4 linked regions of the Caenorhabditis elegans genome follow. The protein of the gene in region 1 interacts with the protein of each later gene in a pairwise test. Each region holds a gene or a part of one and is shown in the gene's direction. Other genes may lie near its edges.

Region 1 (5,200 bases):
GTCTGCTGAAAATATAAATGATTTTGGTGTATTTCTTTGCAAGAAACTCTTACATTTCTTCTTAAAAATCAATGAATCTGTCCATCGCATTGCCTCAATTAGTCCATCGGACATATCAATCGATTTTCTAGCATATTGATCGAGAAGATCCGACCAGACTTCCTGAACAAGAGTGATGTCCTGCCAAACTATATCAGCACGTATCCGATCCCATGCTTCTCGTTTCTGAACCTTCAACTGAGCATCCGGCGTGGCGGCTTGCATCTCCTCATCGTAGAGAATCGGATTTTCTCGAACCATATTGATTAGTTGAAGCTGAAAATTTGAAAATTTTGAATTTTAAACGTTTTCCAGCTTACAAGTGTGTATTGCGTAGTTTTTACGGGTGGATCTTCCCTGGAAAATTGTTGTTGGAGGTCTCCAGCACCACCGTGGGAGCTTGAGGCGACACCTGGAAAAATTATTGGAAATTCTGAATCTATGAATATCGATTTACTTGTCATTGAATGCTTGAGACCGGCGATTTGATAATCCTCTGTTCCGTGCCGCCGTCGGTCGCTCATTGGAAATTTTTAATAATAATTCTGAAATTTATTTTCTTCTCAAATTCTCGCAAGTTTCTCAAGCATTTCTAGCTGCGTTGCGTGGCGATTCCTTCCCGAATTCGAGTTTCATATCAATCTACGATCCATTGAACCCAATAACCCGATTGGCAAGAAGATGATCGTACACACTCATTCACATAGGTGATAGACGTGCTACAGACCGTGGGAGACTCGAACGGGTAGTAGGGCGGAGCCGGGAACCGCGACGCAACCGAAACGCTTCAGAAACCGCAACGGAACAGGCATGCGAAGCGGTCAAGATTCGAAAAAGAAAACGGAGCGAACAGGCAGAAAAACATCGATAGATAGGCGCGCGTGGCCGAGAAGGAGGCGAGACGAGACATCTAGGCCATCGATGGTTTCTCTGCGTCTCTCAAGTGAGTAAATAAATGGTTTTGAGAGGGTAAAATGAAGAAAAAGGATTGATCGAAATTTAAAAACTTAGTCTAGGAAAGGAAAACAAAGCAGGGGAAATCTGAAACAAAACATATAAAAACACACATTTTAACTATTTTTCAGAGTTAAACAAATATAATCTAACAAGAATTCAACTTCAAAGTGAAGATTTCCAGAAACGAAAATGGTTATGTGATTTAAAAATGTGATTTGTTCAAGGAATTACAAGAAAACTCTGGTTTAACATTTGAAGAAAATCCATATTGCGAAAAATGAATTTTAAAAGAATTATTGACGGTTTTGAAATGTGAAATTTTCAATAAATTTCGAAAAATAGATAACTTTTTTTAAATAAAGAAAAACAACGAAAAAATATTTCAGTGGTTACGGTAAACAAGCATAAGAGTGTTTGCGTACTGCGGACCAAAATCTTCGCGAGACCTCGGGTACTGTAGAAAATTTAGGTATTTTTAAAACTTTATTTTTCTATTAATTTCCCTTCTTTCTCATTGGGATTTTCTAGTTTTCTGGTAAATAAAAACAGTTTAAATTTAAATTTAAAAATTTTATCTCCATATTTTTTGTTTCCAGGATGTCTTCTGAACCCATTGTTGCCAATCTAGACAATTCCATGACGACAGAGCCTGCACCCGCAGCTTTTCCACCAATATCCCCAATGTCATTTGCTTTTATGAATGAAGAAGAACGAGCAGCGGTCAAGTTTCCAAAAGTTGATCCAAAACCGCAAACTGCTAAAGATGATGAACCTTCCACATCCCAGAAAACGTTGAGCGTCGATGATCTTCTGATAGTCGACGACGACGACGAAACTGATTCACCACCGGCATCTTCTAGTAATTATGAACCTAAAGCTCATATTGGATGGGCTTCATTCGGAGATTCCTGTCTCCCACCTCCACCAAAGCCAGTTAAAAAAGCTACGGATCCAAATTTGCCACGAAGAAGTTTGTTTGCAAATGGTCCTCTGTTAAATAAAAATATTGTTTTCAGAAGTCTACGTCATTCGTTCTCAGAATACAGACAAGTCGAAGTCCCCGTTAGTTGTTAATAACCAACAAGTAACACTCGAAAAGGCACAAAATTCTCCAAAAAATCCGAATCCTGTTGTATCTAAGCCAATAGTGCTTACAGACTCTGATGAGGATGTGGACGTTGTTGGATTCGACGAAGAGGAGGAAGCGTTAGTTTTTAAAAAGTTTTTTATTAAACAAAACAATCACCCGTCTTCAGAATTAAAATTATGGCCGACCCTACACGCCCACCAGATCTTCCACCACAGCGATCTCTGATATCCAGATTTGAGTCGAATCGAACCAAAAGAGGTATTTTCCATGAAAATTTGATTTTTTAAAGCTCATTTTCTCTTCAGATATCTTCCGAAACAGTTATGATTCTGATGAGGAGGAATTTCTGCGATCTCGGTACCAGCGAGCTGTCACACCGCCGCCAATTCTCGAGCGACAAAGTGGAAGTACTCGGGAGTCTGTAAGCGAACCAAGTGAAGGGAAAATTCTCGAGGAAGACGCAACGCTTGGAAGTGAACATACGGAAAGAGTCGGAAAACGAATTGAGTAAGTTGAATTTCGGGTTTTTGAAAACCTTGACTTCCAAAATAATGACAATTTGTTTAATAAGTCCTGCTAAAAAGCAAATTTTCCAGATTGGAGGAAATCAATCCATCACAGCTTCTACGAACCAAAATTTCGGCGAGCGCAATTCCAATCCTTCCACTCTCCAAATCGATAATGGAACGTAAAAAAGTAGCTCTGGAGATGACGAAAAACGCCGTGATCAGACAAGCGAATAACTTCCGTCCAAAAGCCAAAAACAGTACCGTGGCTCCAAAAAGTGTCCAAATTCCTGCATATAATCATAAAACTCCTATGACGTTCTACTCGAATATGGCGGTAAATTATATATTTTTGGAAAACCCTAAAGTGGAACTTCAATATTTCGAATTTTCCTGCATTATCATTAACAAAAAAACTTTTCAGCAATTACTAGTGTTTTTCATCCAATAATTATATTATTTCATTCCCTGTTTTCATCATAAGCAAAAAATATTTTCATCTAATGGTTGCACAAAATGGTAAATTTTTTGAAGAACTACAGTAACCCAACTCCAGTTTCTCTCAATAAATTAAAAAAATCTTGGCGAAAAATAAGAAAGTTCAGCGACATTGAAAAGAAGAGGAGAAGGGTTACTGTAGTTCTAAAAGGCGCTTACATTTTTGCGCCGGGATGATTGGAGATAATTGTTCGTGGTGCGACCGTAGTTCTTCCTAAAATTTTGCCACTGGCTAGTACTTTACAAAATCAAATTATTTGTGGCGAGACCTACAACGAACAATTTTCAAAATTCAGGCCCCCGCCTTCGTCAAAGGAGTCAATGGAAGATGTTATCGTTGCGCCGAAATTCAAAAGCCTGTGGATATGAGCTCCTTCCGATTCGTCGACGATTCTACCGTTATTGCCATCCGTGCTCATCTTTGCGATCAGACACGCGTCATGGTAGCTAGAACAGCAATTTGGAATCGAGAATACGCGAAACGACTCGGCGATCGAGCTGCTGGAACTGTTTGGCAGAAACCGGACGAGGTGTCGGCTCAGATGACCGGATTTTGCAGTGCGACGGTTCGTAGATGTATTGAGATTGCCAATATGTCTATCATTCCAAAGTGTGCTGATCGTGTTGGTGTTTCGGTAAGTTTCAAAGAACAAAGAAGATTTAATCTAACTTTTTTCAGAGAAACGAACTGACCTCCCTGAAGTCTTCTTTCGGATCCGAGAAGTTTTGTGGGCAGACCATGCGAGCTCCACATGTACTCACTCAGTTCTACTCAGTTAATCAGGCATCGATGGCTCGTAATAGGGAAGGTTCTGATGGTCCTTCTTCCTCAGCAGCAAGACCGGTTGGAAGACCACCCACTACGCAACCAGTAGAAACTGCAGTGGAGAAAAAGAAGAATGATGAAGATGAGAAAAGACATCATCCACTCACAAACTTCACAACAGCATCCACGTCTTCCCAAAATCTGCAAGATCAACCACCACCCAAGAATACCGTTCTCCGCTGGTCAAATATCACAACTCCGAGGATTCTTCGTCCACCAACTCTCAAAACTCCCTACTCGCTTCCCAGGACTGCAGTGATTCCGGTGATGAAGAAGAAGCAGCCCGAAATAGAGCAAGTTCAGCCGAAGAAGGACACGACGGCAAGCCTTGTTCGCAAAAGAGGCCGCCCGAGAAAGGAGAAGCCTCTGGAGGTGCAGTCTCCTCGCAAGGGACTATATCTTCGCTTCAAATCGTGCACAAAGTATATTGTTCGGGTAAGAGAACTGAACAATTTGAAAACTTGAAATATTTGGTTTTACAGACTCCAATTGACAAAAGTGTCCAAGAAACGGTGAACTATCTACTGGATGAGGTTGACAAAAGGGCTTCAACTTCTGCTACGTAGCTGCTACAATCTCTGTTCTTTTGTTTTTGTTTTCTCGTTCTAAATGTTTTGTTGTCTCATGTTTTTAGTTCTTCGGAACTTGTTATCCCCTCCCAGTGTTTTATTATTTTTTGTACATTTTACTGTTGCTCTGTTCTGCACGTTGACCCCACATTTGTTAGTAGCATATGAAACGGTTTTATAAAGTAAGTGGAAAAGGTAGAAAATCTGAATTTGATAATTTTTTAATACGGCTGAATACGATACTCGACTTCCGCGAATCCCCATCCCGGCTTTCCGTCGACAACGAATTCGCTCATTCCTTCGGTGACCTGACATGCTTGATCCAATCCCATTTTGAATGAGACGGCTTCCTTGATATGAACATCTGCGTGATGAATCTTGCCGTCAACTTCGAACGAGTAGTGGAAATCATCAGGGAAATGACGATCCTCTCCGTGGTTTGGAAGGGAGAAGTGTACACGATCCACTGGCTTCGTCTCACCAGTTCTGAAAAAAAAAATTTAGGTTCTGCCCATTAAGGAAATTACTAGAATCTTTTGCGAGAATACGGTACTCGGTCTCGAAACGACTTAAAGGACACTTATAATGATCCAAAACGACGAAAAATCATAATAAAACACTCCAAAAATGTTTATATTTTTCGTAAGCTTTCGCAAATTGCCAAAATATTGAAAAATAGGAGCTATTGAGAAAATCTAAAGCAATGTTGCATACC
Region 2 (7,804 bases), on another chromosome or scaffold:
TTCTCATTCATGAATTGAGGAATTTCCACTGAATCACATTCTACCGTCATCTCATTCCGCTCGTCTTCTATTACCGTAATCCTTCAGTTTTATTTCCAATTTCTGCGCGAAATGGCATTGTTTCAGTAGGAGGTGACAAGCCCGAAATGGGATGACACTAGACCAAGGACAACCTCACCGGAAGAAAAAATAACAATCACTGAACTCGTAGATATAGTTGACACACAAGAAATGACAAGTTCAAAATGAGAAAATCATTTCACTTTTACTCTAGTTGTATACGTGACACTTTTGATTTCATATCGAATGAGTTTGTCCTTCTATCCAGCTGATTCTGTTCGGTTGGATGTGGTTTGTATTATATTGAAAACATGCCCAAAGTCAAACAGGTGAAGAGCAGAACTTTTTGCTCGAAACCTGATTGAAACTGTGTTTATTTGTTCCATTGACGGCTCTTTGAATTAAAATTTTGAATTGGTGGTGTCTAAAGATTTCATTTGGTCGAGGCGTCAAGGGGCGCCTCTGATCCGTCGATTCACTGGTATTTATCAAGAGATTGCTTCTGTGGGTTAAATAAGTTTTGGTTGTATTTTACCGGACTAGCTATTCTTTTTTCAATGTGCTGAAAAACAATTTGAATACAGAATTACAGAGCTTGCGAAGTTTTGAACTGAGAAAAATCCTTCTAATTTAGGATATTTGTTCCTAAAATAACATGTAATACAAAAAAGTAAAAATCATTGTAGTTGTATGACCCCGATGAAAACAAATGGAAAGTTTCAAAGTAGCGAATTAAATCTTAGCGCACTCAATTATACAACTTTAACAGCTCAGAAAGTGTTCAATTAAAAATTCAATTGAAATTAAAAGAAACATTTTAAAGCTTCCGATTTCGGAACGATAATCAAACTTTTTGAATTTAAAATGTATGTATAAAAATATTGTATTAATTTGAAAATAACCCCAATCTTTTTTGCGAAGATTGAAAAGAATCTGAAAAACTGGCTGAATGTTGACTGCCTAAAAAAATATCACAAACAATTTTTATGGAAAATGGCAAATTTAAGGAAAAGTTTGACGATTTTTCTGAAATTTTTAATAAAATTGACTTGGTTTTCATATGAACCAAATATTTTTCTAGATTTCCACATTTGAAAAGTTGCGTTATTGTACCAAAGTGGGCCGTTTTGTAGATTGGTACAAAATTAATATATACGGTATCCCATTTTAGACAATCGTTCTTCTGGTAAAAAATTCCAGAAAAAATCCGAAAAAAATTAAACGTAATTTGCAAAACTTGATCGTAGAATAATGTCACTATCAAAACAAAAATTACTAAAAACCACCCCTTGAAGTTATAAAAACTACCCTATTAGACTTGCACCCCTTTTGATCTACTTTAAAAGCTTATATTTTTGCTGTCTTTAGTTTTTATCAAAATTGTAAACTGATAAAATACTTGGAAAATATTTTTCTTTATTTCTCATGTTGACTATTTTTGATATAACTGAAGATAACAGAGATATAAGGTGTGAAAGAAAACGTAGTGCAATACAGAAAATACGGTGAATGAAAAATATTTGAACTATCATGAGCATTTAAACCAAAAGCGATCCCTATTCTCTCGTTCTTCTTATTTTTCTTCTAGGCTTCAACATTCGTAATTTCCTCTCTCTCTTTCCCTCAATAGCTCTCATTCTTCAGGCTTTCTCTCTCTCTCTCTCTCTCTTGTGTCAATAACTCCGCCCATCAACCAGCCAGCCTCCTGGTGCCCCAACCACCGTAACCTTCGTGGTCGTTCTTCTTCTTCTTCTCCTCCTCCTTTTACTCCCTTCTCAATGCATTCTTCTTCTTCGTTCATCATCACCTCACTGGAAGAAGAGGAGAAGAAGCCTCCTGCTCATCATCTTCATCAGCAGTCAATTGAAGACGTCGGCAGTGTCACCTCATCTGCCACGTTGCTGCTTCTCGACTCTGCCACGTGGATGATGCCATCGTCAACGACTCAGCCGCACATCTCTGAAATTAGTGGAAATGAGTGTGCCGCGTGTGCACAGCCTATTCTTGACAGGTATCGGTCCCTCACCTTTTTTTGCAATTTATGATTATTTTCCGTTTAGTCTCATTCCAATTTTCATCTCTAGCTGCTGTAACACCACCTCTCTCGCCCCTAATTGAATTTTTCCATTTTCGATTCATTTCCCCCTCTCAACCCCTTCGACAGCAGCAGCACTAGCAGTCATTTCATTTTCAGCCGACACTTTCACTTACTTTCAGATATGTATTCACTGTGCTCGGAAAATGCTGGCATCAGTCTTGTCTTCGATGTTGTGACTGTCGAGCGCCCATGTCAATGACTTGTTTTAGTAGAGATGGTCTTATTCTGTGTAAAACTGATTTTTCAAGGTAAGTTCCGAGCAACATTAATTTCTAAGAACTGTGATCTATAAAGAGCCGGGCTGCAAGTTTTGAGCTCTTGGAGATAGTTCAAAAACATCTTACAATTAGGTTGTGATGAATTTTCCATTGAATTTTCCAGTGTGCAAACTTTAAAAGTTCTAACTGAACGCTGAAGTTTTGAAGCTGAAAACCTCTAAGATTCTTCAACAGTGACAATTTCAAAATTCCAAATTTTTAGTCAAAAGTTTATGTAAAAATATATAAAACATGATCAATTTGAAAACTACGTTTATTTTCATTGAAAAATAAAAAAAAGTCCTGAAATCTGGTATGAAATTGTAATAACTATTTTCTGGTAGATGTCAATTTTCAGTAAGTCTCTCAGATTTTTTTCAGTCTTTTGCAACATATTTTTCATATTGAAAAATTGGTTTTTTTCATGCCAATTCAAATAATCGTACTGCGAATCGTCACCCACTCCTGGATATATTGTAGTTCCAAAACTTTGCCAAAAAGGGCTAGGAGAATATATTCAAGCAAATGACGGCATAAAATTTAAAGATTCCGCAATTCCAAAATCCTCCCAAAACATGTTCTAAAGTTTTGAAGATCATATTCCAAAATTCTCAAATTTCTTATGCTTTCAAGCTCACTTGTAGTAAACAAATCTTACTTGCTTATTTTGATTTTCAAATTTCAAATTCTATATCTAAATTTTCCCACGGTTCCCACGGTGTCCATAATTATTTTACCTACCTGATTGTGATTTTCAGGCGATATAGTCAACGGTGTGCCGGATGCGATGGGAAATTGGAAAAAGAGGATCTGGTGAGACGAGCAAGAGATAAAGTTTTTCATATTCGATGTTTTCAATGCTCCGTTTGTCAAAGGTTATTGGACACTGGTGACCAGGTGAGCCAGGCTAAGCCTCTTCTCTATATAAGATTGATTGTACTTTTGATCTTATATATTAATCCAGGCTGGTACCTTAATTGAACTAAAGTTTCAAATAAGTTTTATATTATTTAAGGCTGACGGTAAGTGATATTTGACGTTTTAACTGGCAGTTCTTTTTAAGCTTGTCTCCACCATTATCAAGGTTTTTCTATAAGTTGAGCGGTGACTCAGATGAAATTAGATATTCATAGTCGCTATTTTCTCACGTCTAACTTATACTGATAAGCCCATTTGCAAATAAGATACGCAGATCCCTAAAAATCACATGCTCACACCTCTTGAATGTGTCCCCATCATGAGCCCCTGTCAGTTGCACCTGCCTCTTACCGAGAGCTCTCTACCACTCAAGCTTCACGCCTTCTTGTCATTCAAAATGTTTTGTTTTCTTGAATAGAAGATGTCACTGAATGTCATTGATGCTGTTCTGAGTATTGTTTTGACTCATGTAGATGAAACAGATAGTTGATTAAAATTTTGATCATAAACATTATAGGGAACATCAAAAACTATTTCTGTCTAGAGGCGCGCTGAATATCTAAAAACCCTCTCAACTTCCATACTGTTTGTTTTGGTATAATAATTCTACTTTTTAAAAAAGAAAAATTAATGTAGAAATATAGAAAAAAATATTCGATTGACTTCAAAATAATGAATAAATATTTTAAATGGAACGTTTGAAAAATACTTCAAGTACTGTTTCGGAAGTTATCAAAACTACTGTTAAAGTTTTTCAGATTTTTTGAACTTTTCCAAAAAAAAAACACTTTATTTCAGATCAATCAAATATTTTAATTTTTTTAAAATTTGTTTTATTTGAAAAATTTGGTTGTCGTTGTATAGTTGCCGGAAGTATTTGCCGGACACCATACTTTAAACATTTCTCATTATCAGTTGAAAAACAATACGTTAAAACAATTTTCCAAGAATACTAGGATTTTGGAGCAACCGTTCAAAATGTCTCGAGGCGCATATTATCTTCTCATTGCTCATTGCTTCTGCTTATATTAATTTCAAATCAGTTAAACTACCCACTGACCAACCGGTAGATCTTATCTCAATGCCATTTTCCTTCCATTTTCCATCCTGTCTTCCTGCTTCAAAACCTTCCCCAATTCCCTTTGGGATGTGTCCTGTTGTCACTCTACAATCATCTTCTTTCCATCCGTCTCTAACCTATTATACTTTATAATTGCATTACACGGGGGACCTAGTCAAGGTTTGAGACAGCTCCAACTGTCATGAAAATATGCGAGGGGTTCCCACGATTGTTTTTGTTTTTTTTTCGCGGAATTTTTAGTGTTATTTTGCAGCTTTATATCATGGAAGGCAATCGATTCGTGTGTCAAAGTGATTTTCAAACAGCAACCAAAACATCAACGCCCACATCGATTCATAGGCCCGGTAAGGTTTTTAAAAATAAAGAAAGGGAAAGAGAAAGAGACGAAGAATTGAGTTTTAAAGATAATACAAAAGTTGTTCAAAGTTATGGTAGAAGGTGGAGTTTTCATAAAATTGTTGACTGCTGAGGCGTCCAAGGCCTACTCCAATAATTGAATGAAGGCAGATAGGCTAGAGGCAGACAAGTGAGCCTGAACACATGCCTACCTACCATGAAATTCTTTATCTCTGAAGTAACACCGCCAGACATAATTTTCAGTAGATACCCAAAAAGTCAAAAAAGAATTCCCAGATTTCAAGTCATAAAATCCTTAGAAATTTCTTCTTCTTCTCATAAAACCAGAGACATACGTTCTAATCCATGCTTCCGTTTCAAACGTATTTAAGATGAGCCAGCGAGCCATGTGTTGTTTGAATAGTTTTACGATGATAGGTATCTCTGCACAAAAGAGGAAGAGACAGACAGCTGTCAACACAGAAAACATTTCTTTGTATTCGAATTACCGCAAAATAGTAAGGAAGGGGGGATAATCTCGTTGCGGAATGGACATACACTGGTATTAGACAGATGATGTTCTTTTGTTACAGTATCCAATGGATCCGAATGCAATTCCGATGTGGAGGAGGATAATGTGGATGCTTGTGATGAGGTGGGTCTGAAATATATACTTCTCTGGAATTGCCATTTAGGATCAGTTTTTACTTTTTTTTAAAATAGAAAGTTCTAGTAGTGGCTAAAAAGTTTGCTGTAAACGAATCTTTAAAAAATACAAATATTTTTCTAATCAGTTTAATAAAGAAGCATACTTCCCTACTTTTGACAGCTGGTATCATTTGAAATGATTGCAAAAATGGCTCAACACTAAAAATATTGAAAAGATTTAACCTATAACTTACAAGTCAAAATGTTTTGTTAGAACCAAAGTGAATCTAATCTAACTTATTAAAATTTCAGGTCGGACTCGATGATGGAGAAGGCGATTGTGGGAAGGACAATTCAGATGACTCGAATTCTGCGAAAAGGCGTGGCCCTCGAACGACAATTAAAGCAAAACAAGTGAGTTTTCTGAAGTAGAAAAAATTATCTATGTCGGAAAGGAAAGTGCAAACATAATTATTGAAATAACTTTTTGAAAAAATAATTAAATTTCTAAATCCAGGTCAGTGTAACAAATATTTTGTCAGTTGACAATTTTTTGGTAAAACATAGTCTGATCAAGATTTGTGCTGCCAAAGTTGGGCAAAACTGACAGAGGATATCAGATTTTAAAATTCTAATTAATGTTTGATAAAGAATCCAGCGTTTCCTGCTGAAAATCTTGAATTTCCCCACTTAAAAAATATCTTATTACTGTCCAAAGCTTCAATAAATATTTTCAGCTTGAAACCTTAAAAAACGCGTTCGCCGCAACACCCAAACCAACTCGACATATCCGTGAACAACTTGCCGCCGAGACAGGACTCAACATGAGAGTCATTCAGGTTTCTATTCTTCTTCTTTTTTTCTTTTTTTGCACATGTCTAAGTATCCTCGAAATGCACTATCTCTCACAAATTCTCATTTCCCGCTTTAATTCACCTGCCCCGCCCTTCTCTCTCTTGGGGGAGGACACATCCTTCCACACGCACACACACAAATTCAATTACCGTAGTCCTTGAAAGGAGAGAGAGGGAAAAACGGAAAGAAGAAAAAGAGAAAAAAGTGAGTGGATACTGTAGTTTCTAACTAATATCATGTTATTTACTGTAAGAAAGATGTACACATCACATGATTTTTATGTAACAATAGAAATAATAATGATCATAATCATAATAACTGATAACAGGAAACTTAACGGAAAGCCATAGGAAATTGGTTGTGTTTAGAGAGCTATACGAAAATGATGATGAAAGAGAAAATGGGAAACAATTTCAATTTGGAAGATAAAAATCTGAGTGGTCAAGGGAGAGAATTGCAATGAGAAATTTGAGTTGAACTCAGAAAATTCGTTTTTTTGTTCAAATTTTTGAACCCTGAATATTCGGAATTCCAAAATTAATTGTAGTCTTAATTTTTTGTGTGAAATATTTTTAGCCTACTTCCACCGATCAATTAAATTTTAATTCTGTTTATCTGCACAGTTGCCCCATAATAGTAAACTTAAAAAACTGCTAACACATAACTTTTAGTGTTTTGATTCGAAAATTTGGAAATAACTGAACTAAAAAAGGGTTCGCTCTCTATATTGATTTTTTTCAAAAATTTAATCTTCGTGTACAGTGTTTTAGTTCACTTTTAAACTTCTAAATGAAAAAGTAGTCAACTACAGAGGACCATTCGGAACTGAAAAAACTCGATCTGAATAGAACTTTTTTTCATAAAAACATATGATTGAAAAAAAAATTCGACTATTTTTTCTTTTTTTTCTTGGATTTCTGGACTTGGGAAAATAATCCGGGCGTTTTCGAAAATTTTTCAATCGTTCAAAACAATCTGAAATTTTAAAAATTGAATTTGGGTGATAAAAGATTCAGTAATTTTTTTCAAAAAATTCAAAGTTTCCAAAATCTTTAAGAATCTTCCATAAATCTACTTTTGGTAAAATTCCGAGAATGAAAATGAACAATTTCAGATCGGCTTTTTCAAGTTCAAAATGCTCTTCTACAGATAACATAATTTTTCTGTGGGGCTCACTCAAAATATATTTTTCCAAATGACACAGGGTTTACCTTTAATAGATAATTTTCTCCATTAATTTGTTTTCCAAATAAATTTCCATTTTACAGGTGTGGTTTCAAAACCGCCGAAGCAAGGAACGAAGAATGAAACAACTTCGTTTTGGAGGATATCGTCAATCCCGAAGACCACGCCGTGACGATATTGTAGATATGTTCCCGAATGGTGAGTCCACTTAATCGCTTCTTCTCGTTCTCAAATATTACGCAACACCAATTATCACGGTAGCGTGAAAAACAGATGAAAACACGAGGGTAGGGCGTTAGAAGCAGGTGTTCCAATGGCAAAAAGTCGATTTTCTGCACAATATGTACTAGGTTAAGCTGGATTAAA
Region 3 (7,849 bases), on another chromosome or scaffold:
GACTTATTGGGATTAAACTTACTTGAGTATGCTGAATTGTACGGCGGAAAACTGGAAGTTCCGGAAGCTTTTCACTTGGCAAGACAAATGATCGATTTGCTTCACACAATACATGATAGGGGGATCGTTCACTGTGATATAAAACCAGCAAATTTTGCATTTGGTCTCAATGAAAAAAAGAATCAGCTTAATGTATGTTACTTCTACCTTAAATGTTTTGTGAACTCATGATTATTTGAACAATTTGACACATATAGTCAATATAACTATACCTTTAGCTCATCGACTTTGGATTAGCAGAATCGTTTCTTGATGATAGAGGAAATCACCGAGAGGTACATAATCGCCATTATCGAAAAGGAACTTATGTTTACATGAGTGCCAATCAGCACCATGAACAATGTTTTGGTAAGAGTTTTTTGTTTGCTTTTGTATCAGCACTTCTGATTGAGAATTCAGCTTTTTCAAAAAAAATTCTATTAACAATACCAAGACGAAAGGTTAAACCAAATATTTTTTGTTCGAACTATCTAATTACAGGAAATACCCGAAGAGATGACATGGAGTCCTTGGTTTATTCTTTGAGGAAAATACTTGACCTCACTATGTGCTGGAAAGAAGGACGGAGTGTGAACAATGATGATACTCATAGAAACTATTTCAACTTGAAACAAGGCAATCAAAAAAGTTGTTCACTTTGTGGAATACAGCCGATTAACGATATGCTTCAATCGTGCCGCATGCTCGAATTCAAAGATGAACCCAATTATGAAGCAGTGAAGCAGCTGTTTGTCTTGGATAAAGCTATGTCAAAAGCGTTGAAAAATAAGTTAGTTTAATATGTTTTTAAAGATAAAAAAATCAGATTTCATCAAAAAATTTAAAATTGCATGTAAATAAAATTTTCACTGCCATTTTCAGAAAGCATGTTCCACCAAAAGCTACATTCGACATTTCTTTGGACGAGGATCAACAGGTTTCAATTTGATTTAATTTCGAAAAACAATGATAATTTTATATTTTAGAAGTTGATCGACAAATTCAATATCTACTTCAACGAAGAAGACTATGATGCAATGTGAAACTTCTTTAACCACCTCCTTTGCAGTTTAACAATTGTCAGTTAATCTAGAATAAATTTTTTAAACATGTTTTATAAATGTTACTAATGAAAACAATTATGGGTTTTTAAAGTACATACTTTGTGTAGTCTTGGGTGTCAAAATATTAATCTCCCTACAACTTTCTAAATTTTGCCATAAAAGTTTTTTATGGAGCACATCTGTTGCATTATCTGTTGCTAAATTTACTTATCTTGCACTTTGAGGATTTTTTTAAAATTAATGAGTAATAATGGCAATCACAACTTAAACCAAATGTCAATTGTACTCGAAACGTGTGAACGTGAGTTTTCTTTTTTTGTAGACTTTTCTATTTGTGAAAGGAGGGCGCCCAATTTAATTAGTACCACATTTAGGATGCAAAAATTGTAAATTTAAAGAAGGTTTGTAGAAAAATACGTAAGATTTTTGAATCTTGTCACTCAAATTACACATACAAGTTTATCATCCTCACCACATAGCCCTATTTAAGTTCTGCTAAATTTATTGGGTTGATTCTTCGACAATTGCCCAACATTGTCGATCACCAACAAACAATGCAAATACGCTCCAACTCACACCGATAGGGAGAGGGGTGTGAATGCGCGCGAAACAGCAAGTGAACGGTCTCTCCGTTTACCACACTCTCTTACCTCGTTTTGTCATCTAACGCGCTCTCTCGCCACTCGCCTTGCGCGTCAGCCGGCCAGTTATTCTTTCCTTCTTTTCACATCGTTTTTTTTCATATTTCAAGCTATTTTTTGTCAATTTTCAACTTATTCAGTTTAGAAATGCCTCGCCGAAACTCAACAAAAAGTGCTGCACAACCGTCCGAAGAAACGCCAGCCGGAGAAGAGGTAAAACTGTTTAGGCTTTGAAAATTTCCGCAATTTTTAGTCTGTAGACACCGATAATGACGCCATTGAAAAATTCTCTCTCAATTTAAAGTTGCGAAGCATTATGAGAGAATTGTGAAAACAAAAAAAAACAGATGAAGCTAAAAATGCAACACAAAATAAAATTCAGAAACCTCTGCCGATGTGTCCTGAGGAATCTGCAAAGGACACCACTGTACAATCGTCCAGACCACGGCGAAATATTCGCAAAAACACTCTATACGACAACGAGAACTATGAGCTTGTGAATTCAGCGCCTGCTGCACCTCCCGAACGGACTCCATCAGTTTCAAGAACTCCAAATAGGACCAGTGCTGTTTCAGAGGTATCTACTGGAACCGATAAAAACTCAACTGCTATGATGCCTGATATGCTGAAAGGAGCGAAAAGAAGAAAGATTCCTCCTCATGTTGCTGAAATGATGGAGACACCAGTTGCACATAGGGCGAACTCAAATCAAGTGAGAAACACAGAAAACCTTTGTTCTTAAATAATCCTTTTTTCTTAATTACAGACTCCAAAATTCGATGATCAGTTGATGACTGATGGAGCCAACCTGGAAGTTGCAATGGAATTTGAGGTTCCTCACAATGACGAAGGACCTCCAGTGCTCGGGCCATCTACTGTTTTTGAAACTGAACCTGAAAGTTACAGGGAAAGCGACGAAGACTATAGTGTTAATGACTTTGCTCACCCTCCAGATCTTGAAAGGCACCCGTACGTAAATCCATTATGTAATGACAAAACTTTAATTTTTTTTACAGATTGAGCAAGCGAAGAGGACGTCCACGTCGACCACAAGAGCAGCTGGAGACCAATGTTAAATTGAAACTGACCCGTCCAGCTTCAAAAGCTCAGCGAGCCCCACCAACTGAGCCAGTTGCTGCTAGAACCGCCACTGCTAATCAAAGGCATATTAAGCTATTTGAGGAAGAGTTGGATACAACCCCCGGCGGAGAGTCCTATGCAACCGTGGTGAATGGGTGCCTGACTGAGCTGCTGAGAAAGGAGCGGATTATTGATCTCCTCACAAACCCGGACGAAATTGAGTTGATGTAAGTGAAAAATGACAACTGTTGCAATGCGATATCAATAATCTAAGCACATTATAAATTTTCAGAAAGCAAGCAGGATGGTTTCTTCCAAGACCACCACGTCTTCCTCCACTTGTCACCGACAAAGTATGCTTCGCATTCTACGTGGATGGTAGTCAGCAGAAAAATGCTAAAGATCTCTCCAACGATGACCTCCGTCCGTGGAGTGTGACAAATGATCATCAGAACACGACTGGCGGCCCAAACACAATCAAGCCAAATGTTCGAAGACACCCGGTGGCTCGACTCAATGGCGAGCTGAAGACAGTCAAGCATGAGACACGTCTCGCTGAGTATCACTTAACGGAGTACAGCGCTAGATTACCTCGGGAGCAGAGACTGAGAAAAAAGGTAGCTAAACTGAAGATATTTGAACACAACATTGATTTTCTTTCCAGATTTTCTACCTGACCCGTGACAATCAAATCTTTGGAAATGTGCTTATTCTGTATGATTATGTGAATCCAGGAAATGCCCCAATCCCAGTATGCCTTCCTCATGGCAATGATCATCTGCGAAGAGCAGTCACAGATGATCAAGATGGATTTGACAATGATTTGCCGGTTTGTAATTATATAATTGGTTACCTCATTTATAATTTTATGCTTTCAGTTTGAGCCGCAACGCATAGAAGGAACCCGTGGAGCTGGAGTCTACCTCAGGTTGCGTCCGAACAAATTGGGATGGGCTCAGAACAAGAAAAACTTGCTGGATTATTTATTCAATAAAGTTGACATTCTGGATGAACTTGGCGCTCTAAACAATCGCCTCCCAGATCTTCCGCCACTGATTGAGACGGTCGGAGTCTTTGCATATTTTGTTCCGGCCTGTCATGTTGTCAACCAAATTCACCACGCTGCTGATGGCTTATCTCCATGGACCACTAATCGTGAGTTGCTGTTTGCGAAGCACCAATATGCGGTCGTTTAACCGTTTTAATTTTGATAAATTTCAGCAGGCGCTGGCGAAGGAACACCGACAGTGCGTGTGCGGTCAACAAAGAAGAACTTGATATTGGACGAAGCTCACAATCACTTTATGGTATCAAGAGACCAGAAAACTCCATCCGACTATATTCTCGTAGAGACAATGTCGACACTTGCCAGATGCAAAAGAGTGAGAAAGAGGGTAAGTTAACCAACAGTCCGCAAGTACCACGACGCACATTTGCGTACTTAAGTTTGCGTACTTAAATTTGCGTACTTAAATTTTGCGTCGTAAATCTACACCACACGCTGTGCAATATTTAACAAAATGAAAGGGCATACACCACCTGGGGTTGTTGCTGCTAAATTATCAGACCGTTGACGGAACTGAAATTATAGTGCAGTAGTCATAAATAATGTCATAAAAAATATTGTACATTGCAATTCTTCAATCATTTCAGGTTTTCTATATCCAACAAGCCGGCGCTGTTATTCATGGAAATGTCTGCTACACGTATGAGTTTGTTTACGACGGTCCGTTGCCAACCTTCTACCCACCATTGGACGCGAAGAGTTACAGTAGATGGTCAGGAGGATCACCACTGAAAAAGCCGGTCAATTCAATGGACATGCACTCTCACATGATGGTAGAGCAGGATTCATATGATATGATTCCTGTTGACGATGACGGAATCGTTGATGTCGTTGACGTTCACAAGGAAATGCTCGTTCAGCAGGAGGATGATCAGATGGAGAACCTTCTAACGTATCCCGATACGCTGAACAACGGATTTGATCCAGAATTCAATGATGATCCGATTGATAAAGCCGAGAATCCGAATGCATACTATGATGAGCCCCGTGTTTTGTCAACGGGTCACGTATACTTGACTGTTCGTCATAAAAAGTTGGTTACCGTCATGGATCATGTTCTCGAATGGATTGCAAATTCGAACATTGTGTAAGTTCTTGAAAATGTAATCAGTTTGATTTTCAACTATTTTCAAATATTTCAGTGAGGAGCGTGGTGTCCTGAACGACACGAAACCGTCTCACCCACCATTGGTCACCAACTCTAGGGCCTACGCCTTTTTTGTAGCCGGTACTGCCATATTCCCCCATGACATTAATCGCGACGACTTCTCACCATGGTCTCGCAACGGAACGCCTGATCAGCCGACCTGCTATCGTACAAAAGTTCGAAAGCTTGGAGTGATTTGCGATCCTCAAAATTCAACGTTTTTGGTATGGAATATTTACTGGCACTATTGTTTTAAACGTAAACTGTTTTTAAGCTGAAAGAAAATACCAACTACAAAACTTGTCCATTCCATCTCGTCTACTTGTATTCGATTAATCCAAAGGAGCCTAGACTGCGAAAAAAGGTGTTTTAAACAATGTTATTTGATTTTTATAAACTAATAATTTGGTTTTCAGATCTACTACCTGATGGAAACCCAATCAAAAATGGTTGTCAGTCATGCATTGATTATGTACGACTACAACCATGAAGGCAACATCCCACGTCTCAACGCTGGCCAATACAAGCCACTCACTAAGAGGAGTTACGCTAGAACCGTATGTTTCTAACATCATAAGATTTTGACTTAATAACAATACAATAATTACAGAATCATATGCAGCATGATTTGATGAATGATGTCTCGGAAGGCGAAGAGAGCAGAGATTGCCCATTCATATTGCCTGCAGAGACTGCTGCTGATGGGACGTTTTACCTACAGCTCGATGACTTGGAATTCTGGAATGACCGGAACCGACAGATTCAGTACTTGGTCAATCAATCTGATTTGGTGTAAGTTGATTGAAAGAAAAATAGAAAAGCTAAGCTTAAAAAAAGTAATTTCAGTGAACAACTCGGATGCCTCAACACAAAAGTTCCCGATCTTCCACCATCGATAACTGGAAAAGGAACATTTGTCTTTTTTGTGAACGGAGAAGAAGTCAACTTTAGATCATTGACCACAGATAAACTGACTCCGTGGTCAGAAAACACTTGCTCTAATCCTCGTAAGTCTTATGAATTTTTTACAAAAATTTTCATAGACGTGTTGAGTAACTTCCCGCAAGCTCCATTAGTTTCAGATGGAATAACCAAAAGGCCGAAATCATCAAAAACTCCGCTCGGATTCAATCGTCACAATCAACTGCGAGTCTGCAAGGGGAATGCTCTGGCCGTGGATCCGATTGAATTCCAGTTGCACATTTACACTGCAACATTGCCCCGCTGCACACGGCTTCGCAAAAAAGTTGTCTATGTGCAACGAGACGGAAACCAGTATGGACACGGTTTGATCATGTACAGCTACACTGAGCCCGGAGCTGTGCCACAGCCAATTCAGAAGACTATTCAACCTTCGACTGATGAATGGTTCAGCAGCCTTCCATCAAACATCAGAGAGGATGTGTTCCATTTGCTGAAAACTGCCCCAGTAAATGAAACAGCGAAGATAATTCATCAGGAACATGGAATTCATATTAGTCCAAATATGTTGTTCAGTCTCAAACGGCGAGAACTTTCTGGTTCTCATGCTGACAACGACACTTTTGTCACTGAATGGACCGGAGCTGATGGTGCAGGACCATCGACATCGGCTAAAACTGAGACTGTGGAAGAGGTGGTGATTGAAGAGCAAATTCCAAAAACAATCATGGGTCACGAAATGATGATTGGAGGAGACATGATTGTCGAGCACATTGAAGAAGTTGGAGACGTCTATGGGCAATCAATGATGAGAAGAAATCCATTTTTGGAGAAAAGCGTGGTTAGTGTTTGTATAATTGATTCGTTTTTTAAATTCTCAATTTTCAGACTACTGCTGGATTTGTTCGTGGATCTCAGCGATATGATGCTCTTTGGCGAATTGCGCAAAAACAGTTTGGTTCGGAGTGCATTGATGACACTTTTGACAGCTTGTTCCGACTATTATACGAAAAGAACGAGCAGCGCTTGCTCCAAATGATCAATGAGACATTCCACGTGGACATTTTCTCTGGCGACCAAGAGATTGTGGAGGAAGGTGTCGAATACATGCAAGAAGAACTTGTTGTGCATCCTGGTAATCATCTTGTCGGACACGAGGAACTGGGAAGACACGAGGAACACATTGAACATCCTGAAGTACAAGGCCATTTGGAACATGAAGTTATTGAAGCCCCAGAAGATCCTATGGTTTAAAATTATGATTAACTGGAACAGACATTGTTCGAAAAATCATATAACTGTAAATTAAATTGATCTTATAATATTGTTTTACCCTTTAAAATCCGTGTTATGTCATATCTATCTATTATTCCGTTTTACACCAAATGTTTTTTGCCACTATAGAATGACAAGGTGATCTTTTTTCTGTTCTCAGCAAATTGAAAATCAAACATAATACACTGACACAGATGAAGTTATAATAATGCATAGTAGTTTAAAAAAAGGTATTCGGCTGAATATCTGAATAACAACATTTTAATGTAAGGTGCAAAGCATGGATGTGCGGCAAATTTGCCAAACACGGTAAATTTCAAAAAAGTAGATTTGCCAAATTTTCCAAGCTCCGTAATTTTTTATGTTTGCCCCAGCTGCAAAGGAGCATACAACCCCCATGAAAACCAGTTATTGGTCTGTATTTTCACCCGAAACAGAAACATCTGAAAGGTAAAATTTGGTTAAGCAAATCCCTAATGTTTCAAGTCCGTTACTACAAACAACTCTGTGACCTAGATTCCAGGTTCTGTAAAAAATTTCAAACACGTCACTTTATGTGCAGGGTACTCACCGGTCTTCAATGATAGCCATTTATTTCAAAGAAATTGAAAAAAAG
Region 4 (7,945 bases), on another chromosome or scaffold:
TCATATTTCACACTGAAAACTCTAAATAAAATCAATTTTCTTTCAGTTTTCCTCTAATTTCTGTTCTAAATTATAAAAATTATCGATTTTTGCATTAAAAAACCGGAAAATCAATAATTTGGCAATTTTGAACCGAGAAAAAGTTGAAAATTTGCCTATTTTACACTGAAAACTCTAAAAAAGATTCAATTTTCTTTCAGTTTTCCCGAATTTCTGCTCTAAAAACTAAAAATTATCGATTTTTGCAGTATAACATCTAGAAAATCAACAATTTGACAATTTTAAACTGAAAAAAAGTAAAAATTCGGCCTTTTTTATTTGAAAACTCAAAAAAATCTTATTTATTCCTCTAAAAACCAAAAATTATTGATTTTTGCTATAAAACACTCGGAAAATCAACAATTTGACAATTTTTAATAGAGAAAAAATTAAAAATTTGCTTATTTTACACTGAAAACTCTAAAAAAGAATATGTTTTCTTTCAGTTTTCCCGAATTTCTGCTCTAAAAACTAAAAATTATCGATTTTTGTAAAAAAATCTCAATTTGACAGTAAAAACTCATATTTCACACTGAAAACTCCAAAAAAACTCAATTTTCTTTCAGTTTTCCCTTACAAAAAGCACAATTTGGGTTGTATCTACAACGTCATTGATCGCCTTCCTTCCATACATTATCGAAAAGGAACGAAGTGATTTGGAAAAGACTCAAGTGGCTCAGCAACGTCAAATGCTTCTCGGACCATCTGCGGCCATTCAACAAGCCAAAACTGCTTGAAAAACTTGATTTTCTCGCCGAAAATCCCCCTTAAAACCGTCTGAAATTGATCTTTTCCTAGATTTTCCCCTGTTTTTCGTCTTCTGATAGCTTTTTTTGCGATAGAATTCATTATCATATAAATTGTTGATTTTCTAACATTTTTCAAGGATTTTTCTAGCACAATATCCCGGTTTTTTCATCCAAAACTTGTATTTTTATCGATTTTTTTGACGTTTTTCACTTTTTCCAGGTAAAAATCCGAATTTTAAGCTTTAAAAAGCCTTAAAAAACACAAAAATTGCAAATTTTCGCGCTGAAAGTCGCATAAAATTGAATTTTTATAATTTCTGTTCGAAAAATCTTCAATTTTTCGCTGAAAAATTTTTTCCCTGGCAAAAATTCAAATTTTGGGTCTGCTAGGCTACAAACTACAAATTTCGATTTAGCAGACCCGATTTAGAAGAAAAAACGAAGAGTTTTCAGTCTAAAAAGCTTGAAAAATAGCCTTAAAACTTGATTTTTTCGCTTTTTTATTGAAAAAAAACAAAATTTATCATTTTTATCCCAGAAAATCGCTGAAAACCCCGAATTTCGCCTATTTTCTTCGTTTTCACCCAATTTTCTTCAAATTTTCGCAATTTTCAGCTCATTTCCATTATCTAAATTTTTTGCAGCACTGTATTCGGGTTATTTCATCCAAAATGCGTATTTTTATCTTTTTTTCTTGTAGTTTTTCACTTTTTTTCAGGCAAAAATATATGAGACATCGAATTTTAAGCTTTAAAAATGCTTAAAAACACAAAAATCGTCAATTTTTGCACTAAAAGTCCCAAAAACTTCAATTTTTCTAATTTTTATTCGAAAAATGTTCAATTTCTCGCTGAAAAATTGCTTTAAAAAAATTTAATTCTGAAAATTTTTGGTCTGCTAGACTACAAACTACAAATTTCGATTTAGCAGACCAATGTGATTTTTAAGAAGAAATTACGAGTTTTCACTTCGAAAAGCTTGAAAAATGGTCTTGAAACTTGATTTTTCCTGTTTTTTAATCTAAAAAATTAAAAATTTAGCATTTTCAGCTCGGAAAATCGCTGAAAACCCCGAATTTTTGCTATTTTTCCTTGTTTTCACCTTATTTTCTTCAAATTTTCGCAATTTTCAGCCCGTGTCCACCGTCTAAAAGCTCCCAAAATGGATCCAAAACCCATAAACGAAGGAATGTTACTGGAGGATCATGATCATGGAATGCCTGAAGAAGAAGAAATAACAGAAGATGATATGAATGGAATTCATAATATAGAAGAGGATACACGAACAATTAGTGAAATAGCAATGGAGCTTCATCATCCGAATAAAAGTCAAGTTTTACTTGATCAGGAACGATTTTTGCCAATTGGTATGGGAAAACATGCGGAAATTTTGATGAAAATCGATAAATTCCCGGAATTTTACACGAAAAATTGAAATTTCTTGAAAAATCTAGACTGAAAAGTGAAAAAATTCATAAATTTCCGATAAAAACCGCCATTTTTTCTAAAATTGCCCTTTAAAATGAAAAAATATCACATGGGTCTGCTAAATCGAAAATTGTAGTTTGTAGTCTAGCAGACCAATTTTGTTCAAAATCACTTTGGTCTGCTAAATCGAATTTTGTAGTTTGTAGTCTAGCAGACCAAACTTCTTCAATATCTATTGGTCTGCTAAATCTAAACTTGTAGTTTGTAGTCTAGCAGACCAATTTTGTTCAGAACAACAATGGTCTGCTAAATCGAATATTGTAGTTTGTAGTCTAGCAGACCAATTTTTTACAATTTTTTTTTCAAAAACATAAATTTTCGACAAAAATCGATTTTTTTTGTAATTTTTTTTTCAAGAATTGAAAGTTTCTCTGCAAAAAGGCATCAAGCTCGAGATTTTTCAATTTTTTTAAAACAAAAATCGTTGAAAATTCTCCAAAAATCCCAATTTTTTCAGCTAACGTGGTCCGAATCATGAAAACTCAAATGGATCCGCAGGCGAAATTGGCAAAAGACGCAAAGGAGTGTGCTCAAGAGTGTGTTTCAGAGTTTATAAGCTTTATCGCTTCGGAAGCCGCTGAAATATGCAATATTACGAAGCGGAAGACTATTACTGCAGGTAAAACCGGGAAACTCCGTCTAAAATTACCCGCAAATCGTCCAAAAACTACAATTTTCGCATGGAAAACCTTTTTAAAAACTCAAAAACAGCCCAAAAGCCCAAAAAACCCTAAAAACCGCAATTTTCAATATAAAAAAATTTCCAGACGACCTGCTCACCGCGATGGAAGCCACAGGATTCGACAATTACGCGGAGCCAATGCGAATTTTCCTTCAAAAGTACCGTCAGGCTCACAAGATCACTGGACCAATTCACAGAACACACCCAGACTACGTACGGCCTCCACAATTTCAAATGGATCCTTTTGTTCGGCCATTATTCTTCGATACGGAGCAAGGACGCAGATGTTCGTGTGTGAAAATCGGAAAATTTTGCCTGAAAATAGATTAAATTGATGGAAAAATAGAAAAAAAAACTGGAAATTTGACTGGAAATGGATTAAATTTATGGAAAAAATAGTAAAAAACTAGAAATTTCACAGAAAATAGACTAAATTAGTGGAAAAAAATAGAAAAAACGAAATTTGACAGAAAATAGACTAAATTTATGGAAAAAATAGTAAAAAACTAGAAATTTGACAGAAAATAGACTAAATTTATGGAAAAAAATAGAAAAAACGAAATTTGACAGAAAATAGACTAAATTTATGGAAAAAATAATAAAAAACTAGAAATTTCACAGAAAATAGACTAAATTTATGGAAAAAATAATAAAAAACTAGAAATTTCACAGAAAATAGACTAAATTTATGGAAAAAATAGAAAAAACCGGAAACTTGAAATTTAGACTAAGAATTGTTTTTTTTTCAAAGATTGAAGTACTGAGAATGATGATTTTTCATTTAAAAAAATTGTCAAAACTCTGAATTTTTTGCTGAAAAATATTCAGAAGCCGAAATAATAGTAAAAAAACGGTGAAAATTGCATTTTTTCCACATAAATCTCAAAAATTCATTTTTCAGTTTTTTTCAACTACAGTATCCTTTGAAGTCATAGAAAAAATTACAAGATTCGCAGAAAACTCGAAAAAATCATAATTTTAACGCTAAAAACTTAAAATTCAGAATTTTTGGCTTTTAATTTCGGCTTCTGAGTATTTTTCAGCAAAAAATTTAGAGTTTTGACACATTTTTAATGAAAATTATCATTCTCAGTGCTTCAAGCTTTGAAAAATTAATGGGAAGAATAGTAAAAACCTGAACAAAAATGGTTTTCTCTGGAAAAATTCCTAAAAATTTTTTTCAGAGCTTGAAGCACTGAGAATGATGATTTTCCTTTAAAAATTTGTCAAAATTCTAAATTTTTTGCTGAAAGTTGCACAAATTCTTAATTTTGAATTTTTAGCGTTAAATATATGATTTTTTCGAGTTTTCTACGAATCTTGCAACTTGTTCTATGACTTTCAAGGATACTATAGTTAAAAAAAAACTAATAATGCATTTTTAAGATTTATATGGAAAAATTGCAATTCTCACCGTTTTTTTCCCAAAATTTTGAATTTTTCGCGAAACTCAGCAGCTTTGCATAGTAGTTTCAAGCGACTTTTTTTCGGAAAAATACCGAAACTTGCTCTGAAAATGCCATATAACTCCTATAAGGATTACTGTAGTTTCTCTACAAAAATAAATTTCTGTGACTCATGTCCTTCTATCCAAATTGATGGCTGGAATATCGGTATTCTCGGCTGAAACATGCAATAAATACCGTATTCCAACCAACAATTTGTGCAATAGAGCACATTTGTCACCGGAGATGCGGAAGCTATGCCCAAATTTTCAATTTTTCTAGGAAAATGATGAAAAAAATTGCAATTTTCCAGGTACCGAGACTCAATACGTGATAAATGGCAGTGAAATTGTGAAAAATGCTCCATTGGGAGAAGAATGGAATGAGCAAACTGGTACATTGAATACCCGCGCAGATGGATATTATATGGAGGTGAAAATTGGATTTTCTGGATGGAAAACTGTGGAAAAATGGATTTTTCCACTAAAAACCTGAATTTTTAACTCAAAAATTGATTTTTTTAACTCAAAAATTGAATTTTTAATTCAAAAATTGAATTTTTAATTCAAAAATTGAATTTTTAACTCAAAAATTGAATTTTTAATTCAAAAATTGAATTTTTAACTCAAAAATTGAATTTTTAACTCAAAAATTGATTTTTTAACTCAAAAATTGATTTTTTAACTCAAAAAATTCGATTTTTCAGGAGCCAATGGAGCCGATGCCGATGGAAGAAGTAGAAATTGAAGAACACGAGGAAATTATTGAGCAAGATTCACTTGGAGCCATCGCCTTGGAGCAACAAGGCCAAATGCAGATTTATGTGGATCCAAAGACGAAACAACATTTTGCAGCGAAAGAAAGTACGGAATTTTTTATGAAATTCTGAATTTTCCAGCGTGAAAATTGGAAAAATTGAGAAAAATCGATTTTTTTTTGTGAAAATTCCGGAAAAATCGAAGTTTCGCCGATTTTGTGGCGTTTCCAGAAAATTTCTCATTTTTTTCCTTAAAAATTAGAAAAATTAGATTTTTACAGCACAAAAAAAACAGAAAATTGAAATTTTCTTGATTTCCAGCTCAAAAATTGGAAAAAATGGTTTAAAACCGATTTTGAACGGAAAAAATCTAGGAAAATCGATTTTTTTTTTGGTGAAAACTTCAGAAAAAATCGAAATTTCGTCAACTTTTGTGGATTTTACTGAAAATTCCCTATGTTTGCCGTAAAGATTAGAAAAAATTGGTCCAGATTTGATTTTTACAGCAGAAAACTAGAAAATTCAAATTTTTTTTGATTTTTAGCATAAAAACTCGAAAAAATTGGTTTTAATTTGATTTTCTACCTGAAAAATCCGAGAAAATCGATATTTTCCCGATTTTTATATTAAAATTTGTGAAAATTGACATTTTCTCGATTTTTCTGAAAACAATTGTGAATTTTCTCGATTTTCTGTCAAATATCTAAGAAAATGTTTTTAAATAATTCCGGAAAAGCAAATTTCAGCTCCGAATGGCATGGAACTCTACCCTCTGATCATCCAGGACACCCCACTGCAATTGGAAAATGTTTCTGGGCCAAATGTACGATTTCCAGCACTTTTCACAGCGAATTTCAGATTTTTAGTGCGAAATTCGAATTCAGCGCCTCAATTTACCCCCAGAACCCTGTTTCCCCGTCTTCTAGCTCAACATTTTGAATATTTCGGGTTACTGTAGCCCCAAGAGTACGCAAACACCGACTACTGTAACCCAAAGCACCAGATTTTACGGCATTGGCGAATTTCGAGCTGAAAATTGATTTGACGGGGTAAATTGGAGTGCTGAATTCAAAAATCGTATTTAAAATTTCAGAAAATTTGATTTGAAAATCGGAAATTTTGAAATTTTCAGACAAATTTTTTTTTGGGCAAAAACCTTGTAATTTTGAAATTTTAATGCGAAATTCGAATTCAGCGCCAAAAATTACCTTCATTTTCCTTTTCCCCGTGCTTCTAGCTCAAAGTTTGAATATTTTGGGTTACTGTAGCCCCAAGAGTACGCAAATACCGACTACAGTACCCCAAAACACCAGATTTTACGAAATTTGCGAATGTTGAGCTGAAAATTGATTTCCCGGGGTAAAATTGGAGTGCTGAATTCGAAAATCGTATTGAAAATTTCAGAAATTTTGATTAAAAAATTTTTTTTGTTCGAAATTTAATATTTTTTCAGCAATTCGTTATGAATATGCCAGATGGACGAGCAATACCCCACGGAATGGGACAAGAAGAGCCTCAGCCAGTGTCAAGTAGCTCAGTTATGCGGAAAATCGGTAAAATATTGCATTTTTTAGTGATTTTCTGTTCAAAAATGCTGAAAAATGGAGATTTTACTGGTTTTAATGGGAAAAAATCAAGTTTTTAGCATTTTTGAGCCATTTTAATCGGGAAAAAAGTGATTTTGAAGCATTTTAACCCCAATTTTCCAGTTTTATAAAATGAATTTTCCGATTAAATAAGTGTTTTCATGTATTTTCAGCTAATTTTTAGTCTTTTTTAATCGAAAAAACTGATTTTCAGCCAATTTTTCTTTTAAAAAAAGTGATTTTAGGCATTTTTGGCCTATTTTTACCTATTTTGCATATGTTTTTTTCAGAAAAATGAAATTTTTGCACATTTTCAGTCAATTTTCCCGATTTTCAGGTCAAAATCCGTCTTCCTATGCCCAGCAGCACCACCACGTCAGCCACGTGGAACAACACGATGACGTGGAATATGAAGAAGAAGAAGAAGTAGATCAAGTAGAGGAGGATACAGTACCCGTTCCAATCGCGCCGAGACCCGCAGCCACCCGAGTTCAGCCGAAACGAACGCCGACGAAGAGGAAAAAGTAGAGAAAATTGCAAAAAATGATAATTTCTCGATTTTTATTGTATTTTTCGCATTTTTTCACCCTGAAATCCCAACTTTTTGAGGAATTTTTAAAATTTTGCACTGAAAATCACCATTTTTACCGAATTTTTTATTGGATTTTTTCTCATTTTCCCTCAAAACTGAATCTGAAAACTGCAATTTTTGCAAAAATTCAATTTTCCAAAATTTTCCATTTTTCATTGATCTCCATCGTATCCATTTCCTTGACAACTTAACATATACAATTGTAATTATTTTTGAAATATTTATTCATTTATTTATTTATATCTCTAATTTATTGCAAAAAAATAAATTCAATTATACCCCAATGCCTCAGTTTTCACTTAACCACCAAAAAAATTCGTTTCAAATCGATTTTTCAATTTTTCCACACTTTTCCCATTGAATTTCAAATTTTCAATGCGAAATTCGAATTCAGCGCCTCAAATTACCCCTATTTCCTTTTTCTCCCGGCTTCCAGCTCTAATTTTAAGAAAATTGGGGTACTGTAGCTCCAGGAGTACGCAAACACTGACTACAGTACCCCAAAACGCCTGATTTTACGACACTTGCGAATTTTGAGCTGAAAATTGATTTGACGGAGTAAAATGGGGTGCTGAATTCTAAAATCGTATTAAAAATTTCTGAAAATT

Evidence for each region.
Region 2: the proteins of xnd-1 (region 1) and lin-11 interact in a two-hybrid assay, tested with the Caenorhabditis elegans proteins (one large-scale study listed by BioGRID).
Region 3: the proteins of xnd-1 (region 1) and F16B12.6 interact in a two-hybrid assay, tested with the Caenorhabditis elegans proteins (one large-scale study listed by BioGRID).
Region 4: the proteins of xnd-1 (region 1) and nfyb-1 interact in a two-hybrid assay, tested with the Caenorhabditis elegans proteins (one large-scale study listed by BioGRID).

The regions. Positions count from the first base shown.
Region 1 is NC_003281.10:5,602,868-5,608,067, forward strand, and holds xnd-1 (X chromosome NonDisjunction factor), read left to right. Parts: upstream 1-1,592; 5' UTR 1,593-1,593; coding exon 1,594-1,966; intron 1,967-2,012; coding exon 2,013-2,202; intron 2,203-2,252; coding exon 2,253-2,344; intron 2,345-2,391; coding exon 2,392-2,593; intron 2,594-2,682; coding exon 2,683-2,929; intron 2,930-3,386; coding exon 3,387-3,725; intron 3,726-3,769; coding exon 3,770-4,351; intron 4,352-4,398; coding exon 4,399-4,482; 3' UTR 4,483-4,689; downstream 4,690-5,200. Other genes in the region: madf-11 (MADF domain-containing protein), read right to left, coding at 1-5, 54-315, 360-451, 497-563; C05D2.8 (DUF7064 domain-containing protein), read right to left, coding at 4,707-4,971.
Region 2 is NC_003279.8:10,246,501-10,254,304, forward strand, and holds the start of lin-11 (Protein lin-11), read left to right. Parts: upstream 1-1,791; 5' UTR 1,792-1,838; coding exon 1,839-2,071; intron 2,072-2,277; coding exon 2,278-2,406; intron 2,407-3,173; coding exon 3,174-3,312; intron 3,313-4,667; coding exon 4,668-4,758; intron 4,759-5,343; coding exon 5,344-5,405; intron 5,406-5,710; coding exon 5,711-5,812; intron 5,813-6,135; coding exon 6,136-6,237; intron 6,238-7,521; coding exon 7,522-7,636; intron 7,637-7,804. UniProt on the Caenorhabditis elegans protein: Probable transcription factor which is required for asymmetric division of vulval blast cells. Involved in olfactory plasticity probably by regulating the expression of transcription factor mbr-1 in RIF neurons.
Region 3 is NC_003284.9:14,100,468-14,108,316, forward strand, and holds F16B12.6 (DUF7747 domain-containing protein), read left to right. Parts: upstream 1-1,848; 5' UTR 1,849-1,891; coding exon 1,892-1,957; intron 1,958-2,126; coding exon 2,127-2,456; intron 2,457-2,510; coding exon 2,511-2,713; intron 2,714-2,760; coding exon 2,761-3,051; intron 3,052-3,116; coding exon 3,117-3,441; intron 3,442-3,488; coding exon 3,489-3,653; intron 3,654-3,702; coding exon 3,703-3,979; intron 3,980-4,045; coding exon 4,046-4,218; intron 4,219-4,477; coding exon 4,478-4,977; intron 4,978-5,032; coding exon 5,033-5,261; intron 5,262-5,311; coding exon 5,312-5,401; intron 5,402-5,453; coding exon 5,454-5,594; intron 5,595-5,647; coding exon 5,648-5,829; intron 5,830-5,883; coding exon 5,884-6,044; intron 6,045-6,119; coding exon 6,120-6,799; intron 6,800-6,846; coding exon 6,847-7,212; 3' UTR 7,213-7,446; downstream 7,447-7,849.
Region 4 is NC_003280.10:461,341-469,285, reverse strand, and holds nfyb-1 (Nuclear transcription factor Y subunit nfyb-1), read left to right. Parts: upstream 1-1,920; 5' UTR 1,921-1,949; coding exon 1,950-2,154; intron 2,155-2,380; exon of another isoform or gene 2,381-2,437; intron 2,438-2,732; coding exon 2,733-2,894; intron 2,895-3,042; coding exon 3,043-3,243; intron 3,244-4,715; coding exon 4,716-4,834; intron 4,835-5,108; coding exon 5,109-5,265; intron 5,266-5,905; coding exon 5,906-5,982; intron 5,983-6,612; coding exon 6,613-6,712; intron 6,713-7,082; coding exon 7,083-7,273; 3' UTR 7,274-7,619; downstream 7,620-7,945. Other genes in the region: tomm-22 (Mitochondrial import receptor subunit TOM22 homolog), read left to right, coding at 606-776.